3 linked regions of the Chlamydomonas reinhardtii genome follow. The protein of the gene in region 1 binds, or shares a complex with, the protein of each later gene. Links are inferred from orthologs where the notes say so. Each region holds a gene or a part of one and is shown on either strand. Other genes may lie near its edges.

Evidence for each region. The genes of interacting proteins can lie anywhere in the genome.
Region 2: CHLRE_12g517700v5 (region 1) and CHLRE_12g514700v5 share a complex: the UniProt entries of both Arabidopsis thaliana proteins name them as parts of the SGR1-CCE-LHCII complex. The link is inferred for Chlamydomonas reinhardtii from reciprocal best matches to the Arabidopsis thaliana genes NYC1 and PPH.
Region 3: CHLRE_12g517700v5 (region 1) and CHLRE_11g468700v5 share a complex: the UniProt entries of both Arabidopsis thaliana proteins name them as parts of the SGR1-CCE-LHCII complex. The link is inferred for Chlamydomonas reinhardtii from reciprocal best matches to the Arabidopsis thaliana genes NYC1 and HCAR.

The regions. Positions count from the first base shown.
Region 1 is NC_057015.1:4,070,924-4,075,873, reverse strand, and holds the start of CHLRE_12g517700v5 (uncharacterized protein), read right to left. Parts: upstream 3,069-4,950; 5' UTR 2,839-3,068; coding exon 2,589-2,838; intron 2,313-2,588; coding exon 2,035-2,312; intron 1,837-2,034; coding exon 1,675-1,836; intron 1,420-1,674; coding exon 1,275-1,419; intron 1,062-1,274; coding exon 919-1,061; intron 258-918; coding exon 9-257; intron 1-8. Other genes in the region: CHLRE_12g517681v5 (uncharacterized protein), read left to right, coding at 3,421-3,470, 4,524-4,629, 4,759-4,875. UniProt on the Arabidopsis thaliana protein: Involved in chlorophyll b degradation. Belongs to the chlorophyll catabolic enzymes (CCEs).
Region 2 is NC_057015.1:3,711,404-3,716,471, reverse strand, and holds the start of CHLRE_12g514700v5 (uncharacterized protein), read right to left. Parts: upstream 3,421-5,068; 5' UTR 3,255-3,420; intron 3,028-3,254; 5' UTR 3,016-3,027; coding exon 2,975-3,015; intron 2,772-2,974; coding exon 2,732-2,771; intron 2,527-2,731; coding exon 2,409-2,526; intron 2,223-2,408; coding exon 2,075-2,222; intron 1,772-2,074; coding exon 1,694-1,771; intron 1,420-1,693; coding exon 1,326-1,419; intron 1,170-1,325; coding exon 1,141-1,169; intron 985-1,140; coding exon 825-984; intron 652-824; coding exon 500-651; intron 276-499; coding exon 1-275. Other genes in the region: CHLRE_12g514650v5 (uncharacterized protein), read left to right, coding at 3,764-4,075, 5,025-5,068. UniProt on the Arabidopsis thaliana protein: Alpha/beta hydrolase dephytylating specifically the Mg-free chlorophyll pigment (pheophytin), yielding pheophorbide. No activity on chlorophyll. Belongs to the chlorophyll catabolic enzymes (CCEs).
Region 3 is NC_057014.1:2,061,006-2,066,157, forward strand, and holds the start of CHLRE_11g468700v5 (uncharacterized protein), read right to left. Parts: upstream 3,421-5,152; 5' UTR 3,329-3,420; coding exon 3,273-3,328; intron 3,119-3,272; coding exon 2,850-3,118; intron 2,667-2,849; coding exon 2,606-2,666; intron 2,139-2,605; coding exon 2,036-2,138; intron 1,730-2,035; coding exon 1,659-1,729; intron 1,093-1,658; coding exon 1,044-1,092; intron 770-1,043; coding exon 704-769; intron 325-703; coding exon 289-324; intron 114-288; coding exon 28-113; intron 1-27. Other genes in the region: CHLRE_11g468750v5 (uncharacterized protein), read left to right, coding at 3,635-3,780, 4,129-4,323, 4,594-4,672. UniProt on the Arabidopsis thaliana protein: Probable iron-sulfur flavoprotein that converts 7-hydroxymethyl chlorophyll a to chlorophyll a using ferredoxin as a reducing equivalent. Catalyzes the reduction of a hydroxymethyl group to a methyl group. Belongs to the chlorophyll catabolic enzymes (CCEs).

The DNA.
Region 1 (4,950 bases):
ACACGCACCTGGGCGCGGGCGGTGGACTTGGCGTGTCTGCCCATGAGGCGCTCGCGCTCGGGCGGGTACACAGCGCGGCCCTCCTTGTCGAAGAAGCGACCCAGGCGGGCGGGGGCGGTGGCCAGGCGGTACAGCGCTGAGCCCGGTGTCAGGAAGCGCGTGTAGGTGCCGCTCACGTCGCGGGCCACGGCGCTCTTAATGCGGGGCACCAGGAAGGCGGCCACGGTCTCGGGGTGCTCACACAGGATGTTGAAGGCCTGAGCGGGCGGAGTGACAGGCGGCATGGATGATGGTCCGGATGGTGTGTGTATGAATGTGTTGTGTGTGGCGAGGGTTCAAGAGGAGGCTAGAAGCACAAGCGCACGTTGCCCGAAACCGAGCGACAGCAAGAGCGCAAAATAGTCAAGCGCGGACCCCTCCCCAATTACCACTGCCATCTTCGCCATTCCCACAACACACACGGGGGGTTCCCCACGCATCCAAAACACACCCACTCGCCCCTCCCCATGACCGCCCCCTGCCTCTGCCCCACTTGCGTGCATGCGTCGCGCGGTCCCTGGTGCGGCGCCTGTGCTCGCGGCGCGCAGGTGAGTACAAAGCAAGACGGGTCTAGGAAAGTCCAGCGCGCGCGACCGCGACCGTTGCACGCGCATCTGCATTCGCATCTGAGCACTACTGAGCTTTACGCGACTATATAGCATAACATAGCTTTACACTACTACCAGACCTCTCGGGCAACCCATCTCAACTTAGGATAGGCAGCAAATTGGGAGAGCAGCAGCCTCGGAGCGCCTGGACGTACTGGAGCTGGGCGCCGGACGCTGGACTCCGCGGACATCGGTAACGACGACTACTGTGTACCTTTGTACCTGCCTACGACTTCACTTCGTAAACTTAATGCATGTAATCCCCCCACACCTGCTTGTTGGCGGTGGTGGCCCCCTCCAGCAGCAGGTCGGTCAGGATCATGCCCGGACTGACTGTGTGCAGCTTGATGGGTGTGTCCGCCAGCTCGCGTTGCAGCGTGCCCGTCAGCTGCGTGATGCCGGCCTTGGTGGCGCCTGTGGCGGGGTGGAAGGGAAACGTTATGCAGGCGTGGAGTTGCGGATGGGTCGCATGTGCACAGTACTGCTCATGAGTCATGAACTAGAAGCGAGAATGGGAGAAGGGGGGAGGGGCGGAGCAAGAAGGCGGAGACGTTCGCGCGGAGCTAGGCAACCCCTTCCAAGGCCATGCCTGCACTGAAAAAGCCACCTCCGTCCTGCCCTGCTTACCGTATGCCGCGTAGTTGGGAGTGGCGAAGCCGTCTGCGCCGGCGCCGTCCATGTTGAAGATGTGTCCTCCACCCGGCTGGTGCTGCATCAGGCTCACGGCCTGGCGTGTGCACAGCAGCGTGCCCAGCAGGTTGGTGCGGACCACCTGACAGCGGTGGGGGCGGCGGTGGGGCAAGACACAAGGGAGTTGAAGCAAGGAGCGTTGAGTACAACATGCGCGCAGCGAAGGCGTAGGGTATGGAGGTCAGGAACTGATACGGTAATTGTGAACATGGGGCCGAGGACTTAGCTAAGTGGCACGTGCATGGTAACGGTGGGGGTGGGCTGGCGTCACATATAGTGACCGGAGCAGGTCAGGAGGTAGAAGCGGGGCAGGGGCAGCCAGGGCAGGGGGACTGACCTGCTCGATCTGCGCGTCGGTCTGCTCCACAAGCGGCTGGAAGGAGCCGCTGTACCCGGCGTTGTTCACCCAGGCGTCCACTCGCCCGAAGGATGACAGCGCCGCCGCCTCCACAGCGGCCACGCCCACCGCATCGCTGACGTCCGCAGCCACGCCCACCACCTGCATAGGCGCCGGAGCAGCACATGGCTGAATGCACTCGCACACGTGCACCGTGCTGGTCAACCAGCCACTCCCCTCGCCTGCTGCGCCCCGCCCCGCCCCGACCACAACGTAACAAGCCCACGATCCGGCACTGCCCCGTCTTAGAAGCACACCTACGCCGCCTACACTCTTTCGGCCCAGCCATTCCTTGCGCACCTGCGGGCAGCAGCCGTTCAGCGCCGCCACCTCCTCCCGCAGCTCCCGCACTGCCGCGTCCGCCGCCGCCTGCGTGCGGCTGGTCAGCAGCACCCGGTCCCCAGCCGCCAGGAACTCCCGCGCCAGAGCCTTGCCCAGCCCGCGCGAGCCGCCCGTGACCACCACAGTGAGGGGCTGGCGCGGCGCCGCCCACAGCTTGCGGTTGCAGACGCGGTGCATGACGGCAAATAGACCGCCCACCGCGGCGCCGGACAGGACCGGCAGCGCGGACTGCAGGCCTGCGGGCGGCAGTGATAGTGGAGGAGGGAATGGAAAGATGCGGCGGCGATTGGTGTGGGCTCTGGAAGGGGCTGAGAGCTCGCAAGGGGGCGCGGGAGGCGAGGTCCTTGTCCTGGCTGTCGTGACGTCATGACGTGTCAGCAGCGCAGTGCCCGACTCCCGCTTGCGCAACGCCTGTGCGGTCCCTGCGGGCGGCGGCCCTCCCCAGCAGCGGCTGCGATCCCCCGCGAGCCCCAGGACTCAGTTCGCCGTAGCGGCGCACGCGCGACGCTCACCAATGACCGCGGCGATGGAGCCCCACAGATAGGCGGGGAGCACCACAGCACCGAGCGGTCGTTCCAGTCCGCGAAGCCGGTCGTGGCGGCCACGCAGGATATGGTTGATCTGACGGACCTTAGGATGTGCTTTGAACAGGTCTGGCTGTGGCCCGCGAAGCAGCTCGTTGATGAAGCCGCGCTTCGAACTTCCCGAAGTCGAGGGGCCGCAATTGTCCGTGTCCGGCTTGCGAACCGCTGTCACTGGCATGGCCCGAACGCGACGGCATATCTTTGCTGTGCTTGCAAACCCTACATGAGCGTTGCGGCCGGGGCCCACGCTACACATCGGAGCGCCACAGCCAGACAAGGGCTTTGGGCGGAACTATGAGCGTTCGCCTCAGCTGCACAACTCGGACAGCTAGAGATCACTGAGAGGTTGCTGTGAGCACGGAATGGGTGTGATCACGAGGTTAAGCGTTGGGGGCCTGTCGACTGGTCGAGGTCGTGAACGTGCGGCAGGCGAGGGAATGTTTGTATGTTTCGTGTGAAGAGACAGACATTTTATTTATTGGCGCTGCTAGGAATTGGCAGCCTGGTGGGAAAGAATGAAAGAATGGTCATTGATGACGCGGAGCACGAGCAACCAAAGGACGTCATCGTCGTCACTTAGCGTGGCAGCAGTTCACTCGAAAGCATGCTAAAACACGCGACCCCGGGTTTCCCGCTCGACGACTGCAATTCCATGGCCCAACCGTTCCTCGCTTGGCCGCTCCCATTTTCAGAGCACGAGTCAGCACCGTCACTTGTTGCGTCCCCCTTGCGCGCAAAAGGAGTGTTCACGCGAGCCATCATGTGCCTGAGGCTGGTGGAGAGGCGCCGCGCAGTCGCAGGTGCATTAAGGTTAGCCATCCTCGGACGCTTGGCTGCACTGCCGCCTTGCCCTGCCCGCCGGCCCCAGCACCGCAGCTGTACTTGTAGTCGAGGCGACCGAGGACGATCTGCCTATCCACCGTCCGGGCGGTTGGCAGGCTGGACTGCCAGGCGCACAGCGCAGTGTCCGCCTTTAGACGCCACAGCTGTGCTGGTTAGTTGTAGCCGCAGTTCGTGCGGTGCTCCGCCCCCGAGCAGTGCGTAAACGCGCGGCGCTTGTGGCGCTGCTTGGCGGCCGCAGCCCGCGTCTGCTGTTGTCGGGACTGTGCACCATAGCGGTCGCGTTGTCCCGCCCGCCCTCTGCCTGCCGCGTTCCGCCGCCCGCACCGCCGCAGCCTCCGCAGCCGCCGCCGCCGCTGTGGCGGTGCGGGCGGCGGAACGCGGCAGGCAGAGGGCGGGCGGGACAACGCGACCGCTATGGTGCACAGTCCCGACACCAGCAGACGCAGGCTGCGTTTGAAGGCGGACCCTGCGCTGTGCGCCTGGCAGTCCAGCCTGCCAACCGCCCGGGCGGTGGATAGGCAGATCGTCCTCGGTCGCCTTGAATACAAGTACAGCTGCGGTGCCGGGGTCCAGGGTGAGGCGGCAGGGTGAGGCGGCAGTGCAGCCACCTGTGTTAAAGAGCACAAGGAAAACGTGCAGCGGTGAGGCGGCAGTGCAGCCACCTGTGCGCGAGCTCGGCTTTGTGGACCTGCTAGCGCGCTGTACGCCGCCCCCGCCTGGCGGCAGAAGCGCCTGCAGGTCTACTGCTGGACGCAGCGGGTGTTGTGCCGCGAGGCCGTGCGCCTGATGGGCGGAGAGCCGGGGGTGACGCAGCAGAAAAGCGTGCTGGACTGGGGTGGCGGCAGCGCGGGCTACCACGGCACGGTCAGCTGGGCGGATCAGCCGCCACGCAGGGGGTTCGTGCGGCTGCTGCGTGAGCGGTTCGCGCGCCACGTCATCATGATCAACGAGTTCCGCACGAGCATGGTGAGGGCACAGTACACGCCGTCCCTGACCTCGCCCATGACCTGCCCTTTCCAGATGTGTGCGAAGTTCGGGCGCCGCAGCCTGCGCCGCAATCAAGGAGCTGCCGCAGGGCGGCGCGGGCTTCGATGTCCGGGTCTGCAATGACTGTCACACGACGTGGGTGAGTGGGAGTGACATGGGATGACGGCTGGAACGTGGGCGGGGGCAGGAATTGGGGCGGGGGCAGGATTTTTGGTGGGCGACGCGCGACACACTTGGTCCCCGCCCCCGCTGCTGCTGGCACCCGCAGGACCGTGACGAGAACGCGGCCCGCAACGTGCGGCTGCTGTTAATCCTGCAGCTCCTGGGCCGCGACCGGCCGGCGGTCTTCTGCCGGCAGGAGGGCGGCGCGGGAGCGGCTGGTTGAAGTTGACTTAGTTGCTGGAGGTTCCCCTGGCCCGCTGCTGCCTCCCAACTCCGGGTCGCGGTGTCTGGGCGAGGC
Region 2 (5,068 bases), about 360 kb from region 1:
CATCCCAGCTGGAGTGCAGCGGCAGACCCATGCGCGCCCCCACCACCTCAGCCGGCTCCCGCAGTGGCGTCGCCACCGTGTCGAGCGTTGCCACGGGGCCGTAGCTGTAGGCGGCTGAGGCCCCGGCTGCTGTCGCTGAGGCGCCGGCGCCAGCTGTTGTGGATAACGAGGGCGCAGCCAGGGCGAGCTGCGGCTGTGGCCGGGCCTCCTGCGCCGCCACCCACGCCCGCAGCGCGCGGTTCACCGCCGCCGGTGTCTCGTGGTGCGGGCAGTGCCTGAGTTGGCAGCAGATGCACAGGAAGTTTGGTAGGGTGCACCAGCATAACACGACGACCAGGGCCCTGATTATCCATGTACGCCCCCACGCGCAGTGTCACCGGCGCTCCCACCCAGCCGTCTGCGTCCCAGCCGGTAGCGCACACCGCGGATGCACACACGTGACACGTTCTAGCTTGCAGCCCCGCACCCGCCCCGCACATTCACCCACACGGCCACGTACCCTGCGGGGCTGAGCTCCAGGTACATGGCCTCGGGCAGCCGCCGCTTGAGGCGCTGCCCCCACAGCGGCCGCACCCAGGGGTCCTCCTTACCGTACAGCAGCAGCACGGGGCAGGCCAATCGGTCCAGCAGCTCGTCGAACGACAGCTCACCCTGGGGAGAGGCAGGCAGGCAGGAGAGTAGTGGCGGGCGGGAGGGAAGTCGGTCTCAGTCGGTCTTGGTCAGTCTTAATCGGTTCTTCTCAATCGATGCTGGGGCAGATGGCAGAACGTCCCCACATCATTCACAGAAAAAGCAAAAGAGGAGGTAGCATGCGGGGCTCTCACCTTGGGGCTGAGCACGATGCTTGTGAATGCGTCCAGTGCGCCCGGGTGCTGTGTGGCCTCCACGATGCGGCTGATGAGCGGCGGGTCGGGCGGGCTCTTGTCGGCGTACACCAGCTGCAGCATGGCGCTGATGGTGGCGGGCGAGCGCAGCGTGTCCCACCTGCAAGCACAGGGAGGTGATGGAGGCGGCGGCGGTTGAGATGCATGCGGCAGGTGTGTTTGCGTGGAGGTGTCAGGTAGGACAGCTGAAGCGCAGCGCAAACAGCGCTGTGTAGATCCATGCGGTGTGCTCAGCGGCTGAACGTCTCGTGCTCACCAGTAGCGCTCAATGACGCTCTTGAGGGACTGCGGGGCAAAGGGGCAGCAGCACAGCGTATCCCTGTCAGCACACGAGGCTGCTGCACGTCACTCCACACCACACGTCGCCCATGCAACTCGCCCGCTGGAGCCTGCCTCTCTCTACCGTACTGCACAGCATCATCGCGGCATGGCAGCACTCACGTGGGGCACGGGCACGGAGCCGTCCACCGCGCGGTCCAGTGCCCGCCACAGCCAGCTGCGCGCCTGGGCCGACGCGCGGGGCGGCCGGAAGGCCCTGCGCAGTCGCATCGCCAGATGTTGTGCTGCGATATCCTGACAGTAAAAGGACTAGCTAGCAGATGAGAGACCATCGTTTCCACCGCACCGCACCACAGCCAGACACCGCGTGTGTGTGTATCAGGAACAGCACAACGCAGAAGGGGGGTCGACGCCGCGAGTGCGTGTGGCGCCAGCACCGATTGCATGGCCCAATGGCTTCAAGGAAGTGCCAGGTGTGGATTCTGTTCTCACCGCACCAGCCCGCGCCGCCATGTGCCCCCGCTGCTCACCAGAAGGGCGTTGCGTTTAGCAGCGTCAGCCCCTTGACCAGGTCGGGCCGCCGAGCGGCCAGCATTACGGCCAGGTAGCTGCAGGCGGGGCAGGGAGAAGGCAGGTTCAGGCATGCCTCTAGGGTTAGGCCATGGCAGCGACGGAACGGGGCCGCGGCCTGTCATCCCAAGCTACAGCAACCGCGACCAGAAGGACCCCTTGGCGAGACTGCGAGCACGCTGTGTGTGAGCGTGCACGCGGGCCAGCAAGAGCTGGGCACTGTGCCCCTGCCGCTCACAAGCATTCCTATACAACCTTCACCGCCCTCCGTTGCCTGTAACCCTCTTGGGTTAGTTTGGCTTTACGGTAAGTAATCCCGCCCCCTCGCAGCGCGTACTCACCCTCCGAGGGAGTTGCCGGCCACGTACGCGGGCTCTCGCACCACCTGCTCCAGGAACGCCTCCAGCTGCCGCGTCCAGGTGTCCACGCTGAAGAACAGCTTGCCCGCGGCGTCCGAGGTCGACACAGGCTGGGCCGGCCAGCTACGGCCTGTGGCGTGTGTGCATACGCGTGTGTGTGTGTGGAGTCAGCAGTACGTTGACCAATGGTTAGCACAGGACTTGGTGATTGTTCGAGTTCAAATTATGCCGACACCCACGGGGCGGACAGAGCAGGGCCGGACACAAGTGCAAGCGATTGTCCAGCACCATATAAAGCACCCCTGTGCGCACTCACCCTGCCCCAATAGGTCCACCGCCCACACGCGGTGGTCGTGCTGCAGGTCCTCCCAGTTGCGGTGGAAATGCCAGCTGCCCACTCCAAAGCCGTGGAGCATCAGAATGGGCGGGCCGGACTGTGCGCGGGGGGGGGGGGGGCGGCAAGTGGTAAATCGCAGGGTGTGGGTAGAGTGCGTTCACCATTGCAATCAGGATTGGGAGGACGAAGGGGCGGGGCCGTCCGTGAAAGATGACGGGAAGGCTGCAGGGATGGTAGTGCCTCATGACTTATGCGACTCAGTATGGTGAGTTCGTGAGTGGAGTTCCCACGCAACCGCGCACCTCTCCCTTCTGGCGGTAGCATATTTGAGAGTTGTACTCCCTGCAGCAGGCGCGACGCGGCGGTTGCCCAGGCGTCAGAGCGTGAAGGCCGCGAAGGCAAGGACCTAAACCCTGACACGAAGATTGTGCCCGCGCTGCAGAAGGCTGCTGGCGTTTGCGATGCACTGCCCCCAGGGGCATCCGGCTCCACGCAGTCAGCCGACCCCGAAAGGGGAGTTGCGCGGTGGGCGCTCATCCGCTTACCAGTCGAAGTACAGCTCCTCGCCCCACTCCCCAGTGGACATGGTGATGGGCCGCTGCACGTGCACGTCACAACGCACGGGGGGCTCAGGTCCTCTGCGCCAGGACTGTGGAGCAGTATTCCGCTTTCCCCTTGAGCTGTCAACCGTCCCCAGATATTGGTCCAAGCCGTGACTAGCTGCATCTGCTCCGCTGACGACACCCAGGAATTGTTAAAGCGACCACGCAACTGCTTATGTCCCAGGCAAGCGCTGTTTCAACGCAGCACTCGGCAGAGACTCACCTCCTCCCTCCCGCTCGTGCTCGTTCCTGCAACATCTGTATGCGCCTGTGTCTGGTTGGAGCTAGCTATTTGCAAGCGTTTTAGGAGAGATCGTGCTTGCAGTGGACGAAGAACTGAGCTGGAGCCGTGTTGCGCCAGTCGCTGGTCACAGCCCCTAGCTGATAGCGCTTGCCTCATGGTTGCATTAATATGGCATTGAATGAAAATACTAAATACCTGAGCAGCGACAGAGATTTTCGTGAGTCCCAAATGTTCCATGCCCATTGGTTTTCTTTACCATCGCCCGCTGCGCGAGTAGCTCAATGCCCAGCCTTATAAGGTGAAAACAAGCTTTACTTCTTACCTTTGACGACGCGTTCAAACGACCTGGTGTTGTGCCGCTTTCTAATAAGCTTTCCACTCGTTAGTTCATGTTGCCAACTTATCAAAACAAGATGTGTTAAATACAGCTCTTCGCGGGGCGATATCCGGTCAGCCCCGCGGTCGCGCATGTCTAGCAAAGTGAGCAAATGAGCCGGCCAACGAGCAGGCAGTCAGAAAGCCGGCCCCAGACGGTTGAGGCCCAGCCTGGTGCGGGGTCTTTGCAGACGGTCCCGTCACCAGCGCGGCAGGCATCGAAAAATGGCAGTCGCCCAGCAACGCGCGAGGCTCCAAACACCGCCAGGGGGGACGGGGAGACCCTGGGCGTCGTACCTTCATGCCCTGGGAGGCTAACGGATGCTTACGACGTCCAGAAACCCGTGGGGAAAGGCGGCTATGCGGTGGTCTACAAGGGCATCCGCCGGGACGACGGTCGCGTGGTGGCCGTGAAGAAGGTCGAGGTGAGCTACTCGCTGGGCGGCCTGGGCGTGTTTTCCATGGAAGACCTCCGACGGGAGGAGAGCGGACCAGGGGGCAGTGTTCCAGGCATAGTGCGCAGCTTCACAGGCGCTGGTTGGGCGCTGGTGTGCCGCTGGGGCCAGGCCGGGTTACGGTTACGGAACGGCAGGCGTGGGCCCCAACAGGCGGTCAATATGATGGCCGCTCGTGCAAGCGTGCCACGGACATAGCCGACAGCCGCTCAGCAGTGACAATCCACGTGCAGCAGCTGCACGGCCACCCGCACCGCTGAGCTGCGGCGGGACGCGGGCAAGGCGCAGTACGGTGGCGGCTGCTGGCCGTGGGCTTGCCTGGGGAAGCCCGCCGCCGCAGCTGGTGGCCCCAGGCGCAGCCGCACAGACGCAGCTGCGGTGGATCTGGGGATGCGCGGGTTGCAGGCGCAGCGGGCCACAAGCCAGTCGGCGAGTCGGCAGCAGCTGGCCGCGCAGCCACTGAGGGCTCCAGCCGACGGGTCTGTACACCGCGGGCCACACAGTCCGGCTGGGGTACTGTGCTGATGGATGGCAGGATGGGACGCAGTGGTCGTGGGCCGGGCCTGTAAACCCCGCCTAGCCGCTGGCAGCGCAAGCTTCCACGCGTTGTTTTGGGTTGAAGTCATCCAGGGCAAGGGCTGCAGAACAAATGTCCGCGGCGTCGGCGACGTCCTTCTGTGCCCATTTACCCACTGGGCCGTAGCTGCTTGCAAAGCTGCCAGCAGCCTCACAGCCTCATCGACCTGGGAGAGATGGCCTTGGCAGCTCATGGAAAGCAGTTGGGCGCGTGTGTATGACACCCCGCCGCCCACTCCCTTCCGATTCCCTGGTCATGTGCCATAACCTGTCCACCTTCCCATGCGCCCATCAAGCCCCATCCCATGCCTGCACCCCTCTCTCTTTCTTCAACTGCACACAGATCTTTGAGATGAGCGCCAAGAAGCGCGATCGGTGCCTGCAGGA
Region 3 (5,152 bases), on another chromosome or scaffold:
TTCGACAGGCGCCACGCCAGCTCCCACCTGGGCCCGTTGTCCACGCAGTTGGTCCCCAGCACGTACAGCTTCTCCAGCCCCAGGTGCGGCTCGATGGAGCGAAGGGCTTGGACCTGGGCGGTGGAGGGGAGGAGGATGGGGTCAGGTGGGGTGGGGTGGGGTTCGGGTGGGGTGGAGGGGCGGTGGAGGGATGGGGTGGAGGGGCGGTGGAGGGATGGGGTGACAGGGGACGTGTGGCATTGTTGGATCGTGCTGCGCGCCCCTGGGCCCCCCCCCCCACACACACACCTGGCACCCCACGCCAATAAAGAGCAGCTTCTTGACCTGCGGGGTGGGGAGTTCAAGGTTAAACAAAACATTGGGAACAGGATACAAGCAGGGAATCAGGGGACAGCAAGAAAAAACATCAGGCGTTGGAACGCGAGTGGTGGGGAGGGCGGCAGCGGAGCACGGCAGCGGCGTAGGTCAGCTTGCCAATGCTCAGGCCATTACTCAAGTTTGATCGAGTAACCCGCGCACGTGCGTGCAGCAGCACACAGCTCGGCCGCCTCATTCGCGCGAACACACACCGCCAATACACGCCGCCACCTCCTCACACCGCCTCCCCCACCTGCAGCTCCTCCTCACACACACACCGCCGCCTCCCCCCACCTGCAGCGCCTCCCCCCCACACCACCACATCCTGTCATCCTCACACCCCCACCTGCAGCGCCTCCACGGTGGCCAGCACGTTTAGGTTGGGCGACAGGGTGGGCTTCACACCGCGGGCCTGTGTGGGGTGGTTGGGCAGTTGGGGCGGTTGGGCGGTTGGTCGGATGGTTGGGGCGGCTGGAATGTGGTTAGGGTGGGGTTGGGCGGGTCAGCAGCAGACGGGGCCTGGCGGGGCCTGACGGGTGGCATGCGTCCACGTGGGCCCCCACGCACACATACACGCACGGCATGCCGTACACTCCTCTTCGTGCATCCTGCTAAACGTGTCACACACTTTACTTTATGCTTGCTCAAAAACACGTACACCACGCACAAACATGTACGGCACACACCTTGATGATGTCTTCCACGGTGCGAGCCACCACGGGCTTTGGCGTGAACCTGCGGGAGTGGAGGACAAGCAGGGGGAGAATGGCGCCGGTTGGGCTGGGAGTGGGGCTGTACTGCTGTAGATGCCGTCCCAACCTACAGCAATCCCAATGCAAACGGGCGACGAGGACAGCGTGGCCTATGCTTTGACAACGGAGAGGCTGAAGAAGAAGGTTAAGAGCAGTAGGAGTATGAGTAGGAGTAGGAGTCGAGGCGCTGCCAGGACCAAACGTGTAGAGGGATCACACGGGCTGTTTCGGCTGCTCTCAGCGAGCTCCGGTCGCTGAGCGGAAGGCTCAGCTGCTGAGAGCTTCAGCCCAGTGAAGGGGGCTGCGGGCTCAGCGCGCTGAGTCGCTCGCCCAGCCGGACGAGCGGCCCGCACCCCCCGGGTTAGCCGACGACTTAGCCGGATGAGCGGTGGGGCCCCTCAAGATTGGCCAGGCGTCCTTGATCTCTCTGAAGCTCCACGAGGCGCCACGAAGTCAACCATCGAACAGCCGAATGGCTCGGATCGTCACTCATTCGATCCATTGCCCACTTCGGCACGCCCACACGCCCACCACCGCCTGCGCACCCACCTGTCGTTCTCGTCGCTCTGCACGCACACCACCGCGTCCACCTTGCCGCTCTGGAGCATCTCGATGGCGATCTGCATGGGTAACGGTACGGCAGCGGCAGCAAGTATGTACGGCGGGTACGGGAGCGAGGGGTTGACAAGCGGTTGGCAGTACGGCAGCAGCATCGCAGTAGCAGAGGCGGTGGGGGCGGTTGGTACAGGTAGTTGGGAGCGCGGCCCGCCGAGGCATATCAGTACGACATTGCCCACGCATGACCCCATGCAATACCAAGACCACGGCGCGGACGTTGTTCCCTTAACACCACCCCCATCCCAACCCAGGCACCCACTTATCCACCCATCCAACCAACCCCACCATCTACACCAGCCAACCCCCACTTGAGTCACAATGCCGGTCCACTGCGCTCCCGGCACGCCCGGCACGTTGGCAGCGTAGGCCATGCCGCCCGGGGCCGTGACGCCAAAGTGGAGCTCGTCGTCACTGCGGGGGGGGGGGGTGCGGGAGTATGTGTTGAGTGGCGGCGTTGAGCGTGTTGAAAAGCACAAGGAAAACATTGCACAAAGTCAGTGTATGCGATGCAGCAAAGCGACGGTTTACGAATGTTGCGTGTGTGTGTGTGTGTGTGCGATGGAACTTGTGTTGGGAGCCTGGGGTGATGTGAGGAATGTGAAACGTTGACATTTGCTTGGCGTGGCAACGAGTCCAAGCCAGCATAGGAGCAGCGCCACCGGGCGATGGCGCAGGCATTGCTTCACGGCTAGAGCGTTGCCGCGACACCGCAACACCACACGGCCACGCGCTAGTGCACATGTAGTACTCCTCCGTGTGTGGGAATGCTTGCGACTACCCCGGCTCCCCCACGCTCTCCTCCTCGCTCGTTTGCATTGGGTTTGGGCTGGTGTTTACAACCCCCCCTCCACCCCACCCCACCCCATCTACAGCCCCACCTGTTGACGTCGCGGCGGCGGCCGTGCACGCGCTCCTCCAGCTCATCAATGCGCGACATGCCTGCATGGAGGGATGACCTTGTGTCAAGAGTCGGGGCAGGTGACAGAGTCTGAGAAAACGCAGTACCCCAATTGTCGACACCACCATCTCTCCGCGCCCCCTTCCCCCCAACCCTGCCCGGGTGCCATCCCCTGCCCATTACCTGCTCCCCCCTCCTCAGAACCCCTCCCCTCAGCTCCCTACCCGGCCCCAGGAAGGCACACGCGTCTTTCACGTGCGCCACATAGTACGTGTCGCACAGCCCACAGTTGGAGCAGTGCTCCTTCGCGGGGTAGCTGCTGCCCGGCTGGATTGGCTTGGCGCGCTCGCGCCAGTCGGGTGCTAGCGTGGAAGAGGATGCGGATGAGGAAGCGCCGGAGGAGGAGGAGGAGTTGGCAGGTGTGGCCGAGAGCGGGCGCAGGAGCGGCGCGCGCAGCACAGGGGCACCGCCGGGAGCAGCGGCGAGGCTCGCCCTGCAAGTGCAAGCAGTGTGTGTCGTGATGTCAGAGGTGGGGCATCGCTGGAGCACCGCTCTGCAGCATTGAGTATATTTGGTCAAAGCCTCCTTCTAGAATGCGACATGAACGTCGGGAGCCTCACGCATTGCTCCATGCACGAGGCTTTCACCTGCGCCTCGAGCACCCAGCGACACCCTTCGCCGAGCTGCTGTGAGCACCGAGCATTTGTGCTGGCTTCAGTGCGTGTGCTCTGGTCCGCGAGGCTCAAAGACGACGAGTGAACTGGTCCAGCAAGCCAACTTGTGAGTCCAGCACAGCCTGTGCTTAGCAATGTATGTTTATGCAGTGACTAAGGTAGCGAATTACGGGCATTAGCAGCCTTCCAGTTGCGCAGTTTGCTCGCAAGGCCCGTGGGTCCCTTGGAATGAGCTGGCGCGACCGTGGGCTCTGGCTCGCTTAAGCTGCCTCAATTTGCGTAAGAAACGATTTCCTCTCGCTTTTAGCTGCCCTTATACAGAACAAACCCTTAAAATGCTGCAGGCCCAGAAGCGTGTTGTGTTTGGCCAGGCCCAGCGCCGCAGCGCTGTTGCCGTTGTTCGCACTGCCCCTGTGGCTCGCCGCATGGTCTGCCAGGCGGCCAACTGGAAGGGCGACAGCGAGGAGAAGCTCCAGCCCAAGTGAGTTTCGGGGCAACCTCGCGTTTCTTTCTGTAATGGCTGCTTTGAGCCTCAAAAAATGCTCAAGTGGATGAATTATATTTAAGGGGTGGACGGCCGGGGGCGAAATGCTGTTGTCGAGCTCGGTGCTGCGTTGCAGCCCCTCCCGAGCACAAGTTTGCTTGCACCACGATCTGCGCGACTAGCGAGGCAATGCACCAGCGTCTTGCTTTCACAAATGCATTATGGGCGTGTAGGCTCGGTGTGTGCGCGACGCCGGTGCGCGAGGCCAACCGTGCCTCGCGACATTTCGCTGGCCGATCGCGCATGCCCCGGCAAACAAATGACTCCCCCTCTCCGCCTCGACAGGGAGATTGTGCTCCGCTCCGTGAACGTTATGGTTCTGGGCGCGCTGCTGTCCATCGGCGCGGCCCCTCGCCCGGGCAACCTGGGCATCATCGACTACGGCGCAGGCGTGCAGACCCTGAACCTGTGCCCTCCCTCGCCCAACTGCATTGCCACCTCCGAGGAGGGCAACGACCGCACCCACTATGCCCCTCCCCTGTGAGTGTTCTAACACACGCCATTTCAAGGGCCGGGGGGCATTGCTATAGGGGCAGGGGATTTTGGGAGGACTGGAGCACGGCCAGAGAGAGCGGCAGGCTGGCAGGCACTGTGGCAGAGCAGCGGGAACGGCGGGGGCTGAAGGCTCTGCACGGCTCACAGCACTACCGGTACACCCTGTCGTACCAAGCTCTCGCCTGCGCCTCCACAGGACAGTACGGCAACTTGACCTGACGCACACGCACTGGCGCCCCCCTTCCCCACCCGCAGGACCTACAACCCCGAGGATGGCCGCGGCAAGAAGGGCCCGGCCAGCCAGGAGAAGGCCATGGGCGAGCTGGTGGAGGCGGTGGGTGGCGACGATGTCGGGTTTGGAGGGAAGGGGGAACGTGTGTGTATGACACGCGTGTCGAGGTCGGGGTGTGAGCGGGGCCCTGGGCCGATATTTCCAGCCTGGTGCCAGCCATGGAAGAGTTGAAAGATTCAAGAGTTGAAGAGTAAAAGAGGCGGGGGCGAGCCATATTGTAATTGGGTGGAGCTGATTAATGGGCGCTATGAGGGGAGGCCGCCTTCATGAGCGACAACGTTAGGAAACCTGGGAGGCGCGGGTAACGGCACAGGGTTGGGCTGGCTCGGGGGCACGGTGAAGCGAGGACGGAACAGGAGCACAGCCATTGCACGGTGTGTACGCGTGAGGGCGCGTCGGGTCACGGCGACGTGAGCGTGACAGAGGTGGCACTGGGGGCATGCGCAGTGTGCAGGGTACCGCCCAGCCCGGCAGCCCCTCCCTGCACACACACATCCCCGCACCCCGGCCTTGTTCCACTCC